Linked DNA regions of Lonchura striata. The protein of the gene in region 1 binds, or shares a complex with, the protein of each later gene. Links are inferred from orthologs where the notes say so. Each region holds a gene or a part of one and is shown in the gene's direction. Other genes may lie near its edges.

Evidence for each region.
Region 2: the proteins of NTRK1 (region 1) and NGF are in contact, whole or in part, in a crystal structure (PDB 1WWW), measured with the Homo sapiens proteins. The link is inferred for Lonchura striata from reciprocal best matches to the Homo sapiens genes NTRK1 and NGF. Residues at the interface, in NP_002520.2 of Homo sapiens: His291, Val294, Glu295, Met296, His297, Cys300, Pro302, Phe303, Ser304, Leu333, Glu334, His343, Gly344, Cys345, Arg347, Thr352, His353, Met379, Asp380, Pro382; in NP_001424474.1 of Homo sapiens: His125, Pro126, Ile127, Phe128, Arg130, Gly131, Glu132, Phe133, Ser134, Ser138, Ser140, Trp142, Tyr173, Phe175, Arg180.

What each region holds. Positions count from the first base shown.
Region 1 is NC_134635.1:1,625,446-1,632,704, forward strand, and holds the start of NTRK1 (high affinity nerve growth factor receptor), read left to right. Parts: upstream 1-4,223; coding exon 4,224-4,281; intron 4,282-4,598; coding exon 4,599-4,893; intron 4,894-6,662; coding exon 6,663-6,737; intron 6,738-6,898; coding exon 6,899-6,970; intron 6,971-7,259. Other genes in the region: INSRR (insulin receptor-related protein), read left to right, coding at 602-831, 911-1,021, 1,107-1,266, 2,321-2,450, 2,519-2,653, 2,776-3,034. UniProt on the Homo sapiens protein: Receptor tyrosine kinase involved in the development and the maturation of the central and peripheral nervous systems through regulation of proliferation, differentiation and survival of sympathetic and nervous neurons.
Region 2 is NC_134632.1:1,825,671-1,831,499, forward strand, and holds NGF (beta-nerve growth factor), read left to right. Parts: upstream 1-4,432; 5' UTR 4,433-4,439; coding exon 4,440-5,156; 3' UTR 5,157-5,323; downstream 5,324-5,829. UniProt on the Homo sapiens protein: Nerve growth factor is important for the development and maintenance of the sympathetic and sensory nervous systems.

The sequences.
Region 1 (7,259 bases):
GGGAATGGGATGGGGATGGGAATGGGAATGGGGATGGGAATAGGGATGGGAATGGGAATGGGAACGGGAATGGGAATGGGAATGGGATGGGGATGTGGACAGGGAGGAGGATGGTGATGGGATGGAGATGGGAATGGGAATGGGATGAAGATCAAGATGGGGATGGGTTGGGGACAGGGAGGAGGATGGTGATGGGATGAAGATGATGGGATGGAGATGGGAATGGGAATGGAATGGGGATGGGAATGGGAATGGGAATGGCAGGGAGATGAGGACAGGGAGAAGGATGGTGATGGCATGGAGACGGGAATGAGAATGGGATGAAGATCAAGATGAGGATGGGGTGGGGACAGGGAAGAGGTTGGTGATGGAATGGAGATGATGGGATGGAGATGGGAATGGGAATGGGAATAGGAATGGGAATGGGAATGGGATGAAGATCAAGATGGGGATGGGGTGGGGACAGGGAGGAGGATGATGATGGGATGGAGATGGGAATGGGGACAGGGACTAGGATGGTGATGACATGGAGATGAGGATGGGGATGCAGATGGGGTTAGTGACAGTGATGGGGATGGGGTGCTCCCCACTCACCCCACAGTGTACATGCCTGATGAGTGGGAGGTGTCCCGGGAGAAGATCACGGTGATCCGGGAGCTGGGACAGGGCTCCTTTGGGATGGTGTATGAGGGGGTGGCGCTGGGGCTGGTCACGGAGGGAGAGGAGACCAAGGTGGCCCTGAAGACAGTCAACGAGTTGGCCACCATGCGGGAGCGCATCGAGTTCCTCAACGAGGCCTCTGTCATGAAAGCCTTCAAGTGCCACCACGTGGTAGGTGGGCAGCTGAGGGAGAGGGAGGGGACACGGGGGCGTCTGGCCACTCACGTGCCAGCTCCCTTTGTCCCTGCAGGTCCGTCTGCTCGGCGTGGTATCCCAGGGCCAGCCAGCTTTGGTCATCATGGAGCTGATGACACGTGGGGACCTGAAGAGCTACCTGCGTTCGCTCAGGCCTGAAGCCGAGGTGAGGGGCTGCTCAGGTGCCGGGGGGACACTCACCCGGTGTCCGGGGGGGTCCTGGCGTGACCCTGACTCCGTGCACGGTGCAGAACAACCCCGGGCTGCCCCCGCCGTCGCTCAAGGACATGATCCAGATGGCGGGGGAGATCGCCGACGGCATGGCCTACCTCAGCGCCAACAAGTTCGTGCACCGGGACCTGGCTGCCCGCAACTGCATGGTGTCCGAGGACTTCACCGTCAAGATTGGAGGTGGGTGTGAGAAATAGATGCACAGAAAAGTCTCAAAACCTGATAAAACTGCGTCCCGTTCTGGGCCCCTCAGTTTGGGGAGGATGCTTGAGATGCTTGAGTGCGTCCAGAGGAGGCAACAAGGCTGGTGAGGGACTTGGAACACCAACCCTGTGAGGAACAACTGAGGGAGCTGGGGGTTGTTTAGCCTGGAGAAAAGGAGACTCGGAGGTGCATTTGTCACTCTACAACTCCCTGGAAGGTGGTTGTAGTCAGGTGGGGTTGGGCTCTTTCTCCAAGAACTGACAGAACCAAAGGACAGTCTCAAGCTGTCCAAGGGAAATACAGGTTGGATATTGGGAGAAAGGTTTTCACGGAAAGAGTGATAAAGTTCTGGAATGGCCTTTCCAGGGAGGTGGTGGAGTCACCATCCCTGGATGTGATTAAGATCTGGATGTGGCACTCAGTGCCGTGGTTTAGTTGAGGTGTTAGGGCAGGGGTTGAATTCAAAGATCTTTAAGGTCTCTTCCAACCTTGTGATTCTGTGAATTCCGTGAATTCTGTGAATTACATGAGAAGACTCGTATAGCATGTATCTGTATACAAACCTTGAGATAAGATAAGAAACTACCTTAGAAACACCACAGTCTAAGACAGACATTGTTGAGAAAAAGATTGAACTAGAAACAAGTTTCAAAAGATAGCCTGACATAAAAGACTAGATACTTCAGAGAAATGGAATTATGAAAGATGCATTGTAGTAGGACCCACGAAGAGTAATTTTAGATGATGAGCTGTGAGGCATTTACAACATAGTGTAGCTAAAGCTGATAGGCAAAAAACACTTAGAGTGTATTGTAATTAAGAAATCATTAGCTCCTGATTGTAATGGCGTGAATTATAACATCTGTATTGTCTCGCCCTTCTTATGAGACTGAAAATAGAATAAAAGTTTTTAAAGCACCTCTCAGCTGCCCCATCTCTGGGTCAGCAAAGGGCATCGCCCAACAGTGGGCGGGCAGCGGCGGGGCAGGCTGCTCACACCTTCCTCCTCCTCCTCTTCCTCCTCCGCCAGATTTCGGCATGACCCGGGATATCTATGAGACGGATTATTACCGGAAAGGGGGCAAGGGGCTGCTCCCCGTGCGCTGGATGTCCCCCGAGGCGCTCAAGGACGGCATCTTCAACACGCAGTCCGACGTCTGGTAGGTGCCGGGGTGGGCAGAGCCGGGGGGTCTGGGGATGCCCCGGCTGAGCAGCGCTGCTCCGGCAGGTCCTTCGGGGTGGTGCTGTGGGAGATCGCCACGCTGGCCGAGCAGCCCTACCAGGGCATGTCCAACGAGCAGGTCCTGCGCTTCGTCATGGACAACGGCATCCTGGAGCGGCCCGAGAACTGCCCCGACAAGCTGTGAGTGCCGCGGGGGCACCCCCTCACTGCCACAGCCGGCTGTGGGGAAGGCTGCCGGGGGAAATCCTCCTCTCTGCCGTGCTGGGAGCCCCCCGAAGCCAGCAGGTGCCCTCTCTCCACAGCCACGAGCTGATGTGCCTGTGCTGGCAGCAGAACCCACGCCAGCGCCCCTCCTTCGTCCAGCTCCTGGAGCGCATCAAGGACCACATGGCGCCTGCTTTCCGCACCCTCTCCTTCTTCTACAGCCCCGAGAACGGCCATCACGGCTCGGGAGAGCCCTCCAACACCGAGACACAGCCGCCCCCCGAGGAGGATGAGCCCCCCGCGTCCCCCCTGCCCGCACGCAAGGACCAGCTCCCCAACGGGACAGCCCCGCTCTGACCCCGGGGTGCCCTCGGACCCCGCTGGACTCTGCACCCCACGCCCTTCTCCTGCCACCCCCCACTGCTGGGACCCCCCCTGCATTATTTATTGCTTCCAAGGGCCCAGCCGGGGAGTGGGTGCCTTGGGAAGAGGGTGGCAGCAAGGCAAGGATGTTCCGTGGGGTGCATTGCCCCTGAAAATTAAATTGGGGGTACTCCGAGTCGGGGGGAGGGAGTGGGGGGCTGCTGGTTGGGAGGAGAACACCCCAGTCTTTCCTTACTTTTTTTTGGGGGGTGGGATAATGTGGGTATGGGAATGGGTAGCAGGGTTTGGCATTTGGGTCCCCCATCAACCTGCCCCTGTCATCGCTGCCCAGCTGCCTGGCAAGCGGGTCAGCCACCCCTGTGACCCCCACACCTTCCACAGGCGGGGAAACTGAGTCACAGCACTCCGAGAAGCCTGAGGTTGCCCTGATGTCTCTCCCCAGTCCCCTGCACTGGGACCAGTGCTGAGGCCGTGCTGGTCCATGGCAGGGGCGTCACTGCCTAATTTGAGTGCGAATAAAGGGGATGAAGCTCAGCTGCGGCGGTGCCTGGCTCGGGGGGGCGGCACACGATGATTCCCACTCCTCACGCCGCCGGCCCTATCTGCGTCCTGTGGCTTTGCCCTGCGGTGCCCAAACCGGGGGCGTTTCTCGAGAAAAACGTCAAATCAGTGGAATTTAGGAGGATGTGGCAACAGCCACTGGCCCGCTCGGCCGGGGGGGTGCTGGGGTGTCCAGTGGGGCCCCACGGGAGGTGGCCCCGAGGGAACCGTGGCCCTGTGGGTGCCGCTGGGGGCTGGCGGTGGAGATGAGCCGCGGGGGGAAGGGTGCGGGCTGAGAACGTGCAGAAATCAACGCTCGGATGAGCCACCCCCGACGTGCTCCCGAGCGAGTTCGGGGAAAAACAGCATCCGGGTGGGCATGGGGAACCCTGTCCTGCCCTGCCCCACCTCGGGGAGGAGGACGAGGTGGGTCCTGGTCGGAGGTGACAGCTGGGGACAGGGCCACTGTGCCACCAAACGTCCCCCCTGTCTCCAGCATCTCCGCGCCCCGACATAACGGGGTGCTGGGAAGAGCTCCTTCCAGGAGAGGCCATCACGCCTCGAGATTTGGGGGCACCCTCGGGGGAGGTGACAGCCTGGGGGGCTGTAGGTGGCCCCCGGGATGGCGATAAGCCCTGTCCCTTATGCTGCAGCCCGCGGCGAGGCAGGTCCTGGAGCGGGTGTGGCGTCCGTGCGTGTGCACGGGCGTGCTCCAGGAATTTTGGGGGAATTTTGGGAATCCAGCGGTGGGACGGATCCCCTCGGTGGGGCTGGGGGTGCAGGTGTAGGGTGCCAGCCTGCAGGGAGGGTGGCGGCAGGGCACGGGTAGGGCACAGGCGGGTCGGTGCCCGTGTGCGGAGACCCCTGCCCCGGGTCGGAGTATTCCCGGTGCCGGTGAATCACGGCCGGGGGTGTCTCGGGCCGGGGCGGGGGCGGTGCCGGGGCGGGGGGAGCCGCCGGCCCCTCCCGGGAGGCCGGTCCGTGCGTTGCTTTTAAGCCCCGCACGGCCCCGTGCTCGGGCTGCCGGGCAAGTGCGAGGGAGGGCGGCACCGGAGCAGCGGCACCGGCACCGGGACCGGCACCGGCCCCGGGACCGGCCCCGCGATGCCGCCGCTGCCCGCCTGGCTCTGCCTGGCCGCGCTGCTCCTGCCCCTGTCCCTGCCAGCCCCGGGCGCTGCCGGTGCCTGCCCCCGGCCCTGCCGCTGCCCCGGGGCCGGGATTTTGCTCTGCCGGGAGCCCGACACCGTGGGCAGCCTGGCCCCGCTGCTGGGAAGCGGCAGCTTCACCGACGTGTGAGTGGGGCCGGGGGCGATGGGGCCGGGGCTCGGGGTGATGGAGCTCAGACACCGGGCAGAGGCACCGGGACCGATGGGGCAGCGCGGTGGAACCGGGGGTGACGGGGTCTGGGGTGGGGGTGACGGGGTCTGGGGTGGGGGTGACGGGGTCTGGGGTGGGGGTGATGGGGTCTGGGGTGGGGGTGACGGGGTTTGGGGTGGGGGTGACGGGGTCTGGGGTGGGGGTGACGGGGTTTGATGGGGACAGAGCGCGGGGAGCAGGCAGAGGAGCTGGGGGTGACGGGGTTTGGGGGGGACAGAGCGCGGGGAGCAGGCAGAGGAGCTGGGGGTGACGGGGCCGGGGGATGCCGTGGTGCAGCGATGGAGTTGGCGGTGACAGGGATGGAGATGATGGGGTCGGGAGTGAGGGATTTTGGGGACCGGCAGGGGGGCTGGTGAGGGTTGTGGCTGGGGGTGAGGTGCTGTGGCTGGGGGCAGCAGAGCTGACGGACCGGGCAGTGCTGCGGATGGAGGGGATGAGCTCGGGGACAGGATGGCGGGGCTGGGCTGGAGCAGGGATCGCTGGACGGGCTGGGATCGCTGCGGGGGGAGAGCCTGGGGGCTGCAAAATGGGGTGGGGGGGCTGCAGCATCCTCCCAGGGAGCAAGCGAGGGGCTGGGGGCAGCTCTTCACCCCCTCCTGCGGCGATGCCAACCAGGGCAAAACGCTGAGGGTGCAGCAGGGACCCCGGGCGGGGAGCGCCCACGCCGTGCTGGGCAGGGCAGGGCTGTGGGCAGCCGCTTGTCCCCACCCTGCTGGGGGTGTCGCTGTGCCCTGGGGTCTGTGGGTTGGCATGCTGGGGGGGGACACACCCCACATTTGCTGCTTTGGGGCATCCACTCTGCTTCCCCCGCTGCAGGATGCGTGGTGGGGAGACAAGGGCTGGAGCGAGCAGAGATGGGAGGGTGCTGGGGGTGCCGGGGTGCTGCAGGCCCCCAAAGTGCCCCAATTCCTGGGGTTTCCCCCCACCCCACAGCGCTGCCTGTGCCGCATCGCTGGGGCCTGGCTGCAGTGTCTCCGTGCCTCAGTTTCCCCACGTGCCAGGGGATGCTGCGCCACAGGCGCTGCCAGCTCTTTGTTCGCTGGCTGGTGGGGTAGGGTGGGGTGGCTGGTGGTGGGGATGGTGGTCCCCGAGAGAACCCCGGCCGTCCCACTGCCCCAGCTGCTCTCATCCCACCCTCACGGGGGTCAGGGCGGCCAAACCCCCCTTGGTGTGGCTCTGAACCCCATTAACCAACCCCTGTGATCTGGGGCTCACAGCAGCAGCCTGTGGGGTGGGGCAGGGAAAAGCCCTGCTCCCACAGGGGCTTTTCTTCATCTCCTGAAGAATAAAGCGATGGGGGGACAGTGACAGCGGTGTCCCTGTCACAGTGCAGGACACCCTGGGGTGTGAGAAAAGGTGGGCACCCAAAGGGTGAGTGGGGCTGGGACCCAGCAAACTTATTCTGTGTGGACTCCCAGTGGTGGCTCAGCCCTGACCCCACACAGTTCGCACTGATCGGGGGCTCGGCACCACCGGGACCACCTGCTGCCATCCCCCCTTCTTCCCAGCTCATCCCAGGGGAAACTGAGGCACAGTGGGGTGGCTCAGCTCCATCCTTGTCCCCATCCCCGGCTGTGGGCACGGCCTGGGGAGCGGGAGAGCTCTCATGCCCCACGCTTTGCCAACAGCCCCGGGCATGAGGGGTCGTGGGCTGCCACCCTGAGCCCTCTCCTTTGCCTTCCAGCATCATCGAGAACCAGCCGGCGCTCACCACCTTGACCCGAGCTGACACCAGGACGCTGCGGGACCTCAGGAACCTGTGAGCAGCCCGGGGATGGGGTCCCTGCCCGGGGAATCGGAGGGAGGGAAGGGCTGGTGGAGGGGGAGGATCCCCAGGGCTCGATCGGAGCCACAGGGGCCGCTCCCAAGAGGGAGATTGGGGCTGCACAGCGCGGGTGCTCAGCCCTTCCCTCCTTCCAGCACCATCTCCAGGACGGGGCTGCAGCACATCTCTGCCGACGCCTTCCAGGACACCCCCAGGCTGAGCCACGTGTGAGTCTCCCCCTCCCCTCCGCTCGGGGATGGTCCCCCCGGTCCCCCCGGGGCGCTGGCCCCGGTGCGGGGTGGTCGGTCCCCGTGCCCGCGTGGGATCGATGGTCCCGCTGCCCACGGGCACATCGCGGGGGCGGGCGGGGCTGTGCTGCTGAGTGGGAAACCATCGATCTGGGCAGGAGTGCGGGCAACTGCCGGCCCCCCCGGCAGCCCTGTGCTCCCGAATCCCCCAAAAACTGGGGGGGGCCCGTCCTGGGCTGCACGGGGCTCCCCGCTGAAGGCTGGTGGC
Region 2 (5,829 bases), on another chromosome or scaffold:
GATTCTGGAACTCTGTGTGACCTTTCTGACCCCCTGATACGAGTGCAACCAGCTCAGCTCCCAGACACTGCAACACCCAGGGAGAGCCTGACCACGGCGGTGGCCAAACCACTGTGCACGTAACAGGGTGACTCCTGTGTCCTGCACTGATGGAAACAGCCTGGGAAGGTTTCAGCTGGAGGTTTAAACATCAAGTAACTTGCACCTGGGTGTTGTAAGAGCCAAACCTAGTGGCTGCCTTTGCTGGCAGCCAGTGCTCCCACTGACAGACTGTGCAGGTGGAAAGTGAGTCCAATTCATGTTTTGGTTAGCAGCTTGTTCTCCTTAGCAAATGCACTTCAGCCTGATGCAGCAGGATTTCTGCAGTACAGGAGTACCTTATCCAACCCCTATTTACCTTATACAACCCCTATTTACCTTATCCAACCCCTACTTCCCTTATGAAATTGGGCAGATAAGCTATTGAATAATAAGATGAATAAAATACTATTTCTGTTCCATTCAGTGCCATGAATTTACAATCAGAAAATGTGTTTTGCTGAAAAGGTGTCAGTGTGCTGGATTTAATTGGTGAAGAAAAGAATGGTTTTCCTTTAGCTGGGGTCTGGATGACCATTCCCAATGTAGTGATTAAGACCGGAGTCATTGCTGCCCTTACAGCAGCAACACAACACCTAAGTATTTGCTTTTATGTGCCTGTGAGTTTTGTGTCTTTAATTCTTCTCAAATATCAGCCACAATCAGATAATTGTCTGCCAATAAATGCCAATTTGTGCTTCTCCTCCTGAATTTAATTGCAACCAATTTTGCTTCCCAGAACAGATGTTGGGGCCATGAGCCCTGGTTTGTGCCTGGCTGCTGTGCAGTGCCATCAGGTATTGCTGCCCCACTCCTGGGTTTGCTGAGCCTGCAAGGTGCCTGAGAGGAGTGGGAATAACCACTCCACAAAGTCTTACAAACGTGCTGCTCTGCAAAGTCTGGAACTGCTTTGGACAAACTTGGTGCTGTGACAGGGAAAAGGCACAGCTCAGAAAGCCAAGGGGGTCTGTCCCTGTGCTCCTGCTGCCAAGGGGGAATGGGAATGGCACTGAGAACACTGATTTTCTGGCTGATTATTGACACCAACCCTTCTGCCCTAGTGACCCGTGGCACACGCAGCTGGCAGGAGCAGCAGGGCCCCATGGCAAGGTGCAGCCCAGCCCGGCTCAGCTCTGGATGAAGTAAGGACCTTGCTGGGGGAGCAGTTCTTCGTGCAGTCCACGCAGAGGTAAGCCAGCACTCGCTGCCCCAGCAGCCTGGAGTCACCCCTGGCCAGGCTCCCACTGCAGCTGCTCCAGAGGAAGGGTTCATGACACTTGCCCAGCACGAAGTGGGGTTAGCACAGGTGGTGTAATTTTGGCATTACCATGCCTGTGATAACCTTTGTGCCCAGGGTTCCCATCAGACACTGTGGACCCCCAGCACTGGAACTGGCAGCTGCACATCCCCTGCAAGTGCAGGTGGCTGCACAAGGCATCCACTGTGAGCGTCTCCAGAAAGCACCATCAGAGGCTCTAATAACTAATTACGTGACAAAGTCTGGAGAGAGAAACACAGAATCCCAAAATGGTTTGGGTTGGAAGGGATCTTGAAGCTCATCCTGTTCCAAGCCCCTCTGCCATGGGCAGAGACACCCCAAAACTCCCCAGAATAGCCTGTAAAATACCTCTGTGTGCCAGCAAAAGAGTTCACAACCCTCACAGCCCAAGGCACACCTGTTCTTTAATATCAACTTCTCTTGCCTGGGTTGTCATCGAGTTCACTTTTTTAATGTGTCACTTTCTATTCTCCACTAACTCACTAACTGATAAAAATATTCCATTTGGAATCTTCAGAAAAGTTACCATGTACCCCAAATATGTTCTGTCTGTGTTTTGACCATACTCCGCATAATGATTTAGCACAAGGAAAAGAAATACAAGGCAATTACAGAAAAAAGGCAAGCAGGCAAGATCTTTCTGCTTTTGTGTTAATGGCCTTAAATCAAAAATCTCAGCACAGGCAACACAAGAAATCCAGAGAAGGGAGGTAAATGTAGCTGCATTTCAGAGCAGCAAATCTTGTATAGCACAAAACCAGAACCAGCTCGTTGCTGACATTGCAGCATCTCTTTCCTATAGAAGGAAATAATAAAAAAGGGGTTTATGCATAAACACAATACACTGAGGCTCCTATTGGCATGGCTAAATTGTGCCTGGATTTTATTCTGCAAACCTTTTCCATTAACATTTCTGTCGGGAAAGCTGACTCTTGAGAGATGCAATGAACCATCTGACTTTGGTTTGGTTGTGGAACAAGGGGTTACTCTCTGCAGGGTGCACAGCCCAGCTCCGAGCTACACCCAGCTCTGTTTCCTTATACAGAGGATGACGAGTGCTCCAGCACGAGCAGCACGTGGGAAAGCAGCAACCCTCAGCCTTGCTTTAAACAAATTAAAGTGCCTTTGGAACAGTAAGGATTTGCTCTGTGACAAACATTTGACTCTCTCCTCGTCATCATTTTGTCCCCAGTGCCTCCAGCCCAACAGTTGCACAGACAAGTGCTCACACGGCTTTTGGCCTTTCTCTTCCTTCCTCCTCTCCACACAGGCTCTGCTTCCCCTCCTCAGTCACTGCCTTCACTTGGTGTCTCCTGCTGGCTCCTTAAATGTTTGCTCAGCCCTGCGCAAACCTTGCTGTTTATGTCATTTCAGCTCCTGTCTGAGATAAGACACATGAGATCCTGTGGGACATCTTAGGGTTGTTCTGCATTTTCCACAGGATTATGCTCTGGCAGAGCACCCCGGTCGAGTCCTTTAGTGCTGCTTGGGATTCTAATCTGAGAAAGCTCCACAGAGAGGGGGAACTGCAACCATAATTGACCCACACCCAGAAAAAACACAGAGAAATTCTGGGAAATCACAGTGGAACTGCAGAGCCCAATTCCTCTGGTACAAAACCCTGTTTGTCCAGTGGCTTTGGGGCTCCCTGCCTGCTGGCCAGCCACGGCAGCGCTCGGGGCCAGCTGAGACATGTCAGGAAAACAAGGCAAAGAGACGGGGAGGAGCCTCACCCGGGATTTTCTGTTTATACCCTGTCTCTTCTTATTAAGTCTTTACAGAGGAAACACAATGTCTGCCCTTCACTGCAATTCCAGAGCATTTTTGAATGTCTCTCATTCCCAACATGTGGCTGAATTAGTCAGCTCTGGTAGTTGCCCAATGAGGTATTGGTGCTGCTGATCTTCCAGCATGAAATGGGTCTTAGCAAAGGTTTAGACATTTGGCTTGCCCTTTTCCACACCCAAACAGATGTCCCTGTCCTCTGGATTGAAGGAGGACCAGCACTGTCACTGCATCTGCTCCGCAGGGACTTTTGGGGACTTCTTGCTCGTGGCATTCTGAAAAAAACCAGGTGTTTCTCTGTCCAGAATTCACAGTACATTGGCCACACAGCTGTGCTGTATCTAAACAGAGGTACTTTGGTACCCACAGTGCTCCCATATTTGCCCTTGAATGTGGAAAAATCCCATCTGCCCTTGTGACACAGATACCTGAGCTCTTGGAGGAAGGAGCCTGGGCTTTATCTGCCCTAACTCAGTGATGTGGTGTGTCCTGGAAGGGCAGCTGGGAGAGCAGGCAGCTGCTGGAGGCTGCTGAGCCAGCCAGCAGTGGGGCCTGGCCACGTGGCGGGTGAGTGTGTCTGCTGAGGGTATGATAATAGCACGAGGTGCTGGCTTGGTGGCCCCCACTGTAGCCCCAAGAACACCTCTGCAGACAAATTTAGGGAATGGATAGCTGTTTTAGCCATGGGACTGCTTCTACTTTCACTCCTGTGCAGCCAAGAGACCAGCCCAGGCCAAAAAGGTTGCTGCAAAACTCACTAGAGATCTGACTCCTGGGAACATGCTGTCACCATATGGTCTCCACATTAATAACACCAAACAAGTGCTTCATAAACAGTGCTCTAACAACAAATACCAGAGGAATTAATAATAATCTAGCTATTATTTTCTAATGTTCTCGCTTTATTAAGAACACTGATGCTGTCTGAATGAACTCTTCCGGAAGAACAACATCTGGCACTCACATGAATACCTGATGAAATCCGTATGATCCTGGGTATCTGATAAATGTATGGCCAGAACAGCAGCAGTTTGTGCCCACCTGGCTCGCAGTAGCAATGCCCTTCTCTCTCGTTCTAGGTCAGAATGTAATGCCCCTGCTGTTCTACACTCTGACTGCAGTAACAGTGCCCTTCTCTCTCGTTCTAGGTCAGAATGTAATGCTCACACTGTTCTACACTCTGACTGCAGTAATAGTGCCTTTCTCTCTCGTTCTAGGTCAGAATGTAATGCCCCTGCTGTTCTACACTCTGACTGCAGTAACAGTGCCCTTCTCTCTCGTTCTAGGTCAGAACGTAATGCCCATGCTGTTCTACACTCTGACTGCAGCTTTTTTGATCGGCACACAGGCAGCTCCCAAGTCAGAGGACAATGCTCCACTGGAGTTTCCTGCAGAACACTCCCTGCTCAGTACCTGGAGCGACCGACCCCACATTGCCCAGGAGGCTCCGCAGACATCCCACGGCCACGCCACGTGGAGCCTCGGCAGGAGAGAAGCTCTAAACATCACCGTGGACCCCAAAATCTTTCGGAAGCGGCGTTTCCGGTCTCCCCGCGTGCTGTTCAGCACGGAGCCCCCGCCGGTGGCCGGGCAGGGCCGGAATTTGGGATTTCTCAGCAGCACGGGGGCTCTCAACAGGACTGCCAGGAGCAGGAGGAGCACGCACCCCGTGCTGCACCGCGGGGAGTTCTCGGTGTGCGACAGCGTCAGCATGTGGGTCGGGGACAAAACCACGGCCACCGACATCAAGGGCAAGGAGGTGACGGTGCTGGGCGAGGTCAACATCAACAACAACGTCTTTAAGCAGTACTTTTTCGAGACCAAGTGCAGGGACCCCAAGCCGGTGTCGGGCGGGTGCCGCGGCATCGACGCCAAGCACTGGAACTCGTACTGCACCACCACCCACACCTTCGTCAAGGCCCTGACCATGGAGGGCAAGCAGGCGGCCTGGAGGTTCATCCGCATCGACACCGCCTGCGTCTGCGTGCTCAGCAGGAAGGCGGCCAGGCCCTGAGCCCACGCCCTCCGACCCCCCTACCTCAGCCTGTAAATTATTTTAAGTTATAAAGGACTGCATGGTATATTTATAGTTTATACAGTACAGAAAGAACCTCATTATTTATTAAACTCTTTTGGAAATCTTTGGTGTTTTGTAAGTTATTTACTGGCAGAGCTCTTTAGAATGAGTGTTTGTTTTAGTCTCGTTCACCTCTACAACTCTGGGCTGTTGAACAAGGTTTCAACAAAAAGAAAACATTTTCCACACAGTTTTCACACATATTGCTCTCCTCTACACGAAAATTTCCCTGCCAGTTTATTGTAGGTTTATTTTCAATTGAAATTTTTTTGTCCAAGTATCAAGAGAATGAAACAGAACTTTCAAAACTTGCTTCCAGTGTTACTAATTATCTATAAAGGTATTAATCATATATAATTAATCATCTTAGTGAAGTCCTGGTAGAAAAACTAATTCTTCATTGTTGCCAGATCAATTTATAAGTAAGAACTTTAGTGCATATTTTAAAATTGCCCACTGTTACTTTCATTGCAAAAATAATCCATTCTGAATTATTTTGGAACATTTGTTTGCACAAGAATAGAATCTCAAAGTGTGTATTTTTGTGTTAAAATGGTATTTTATAGCTCATTACTTCAGAACTATATCAGAGTGATGGGATTTCAAATAT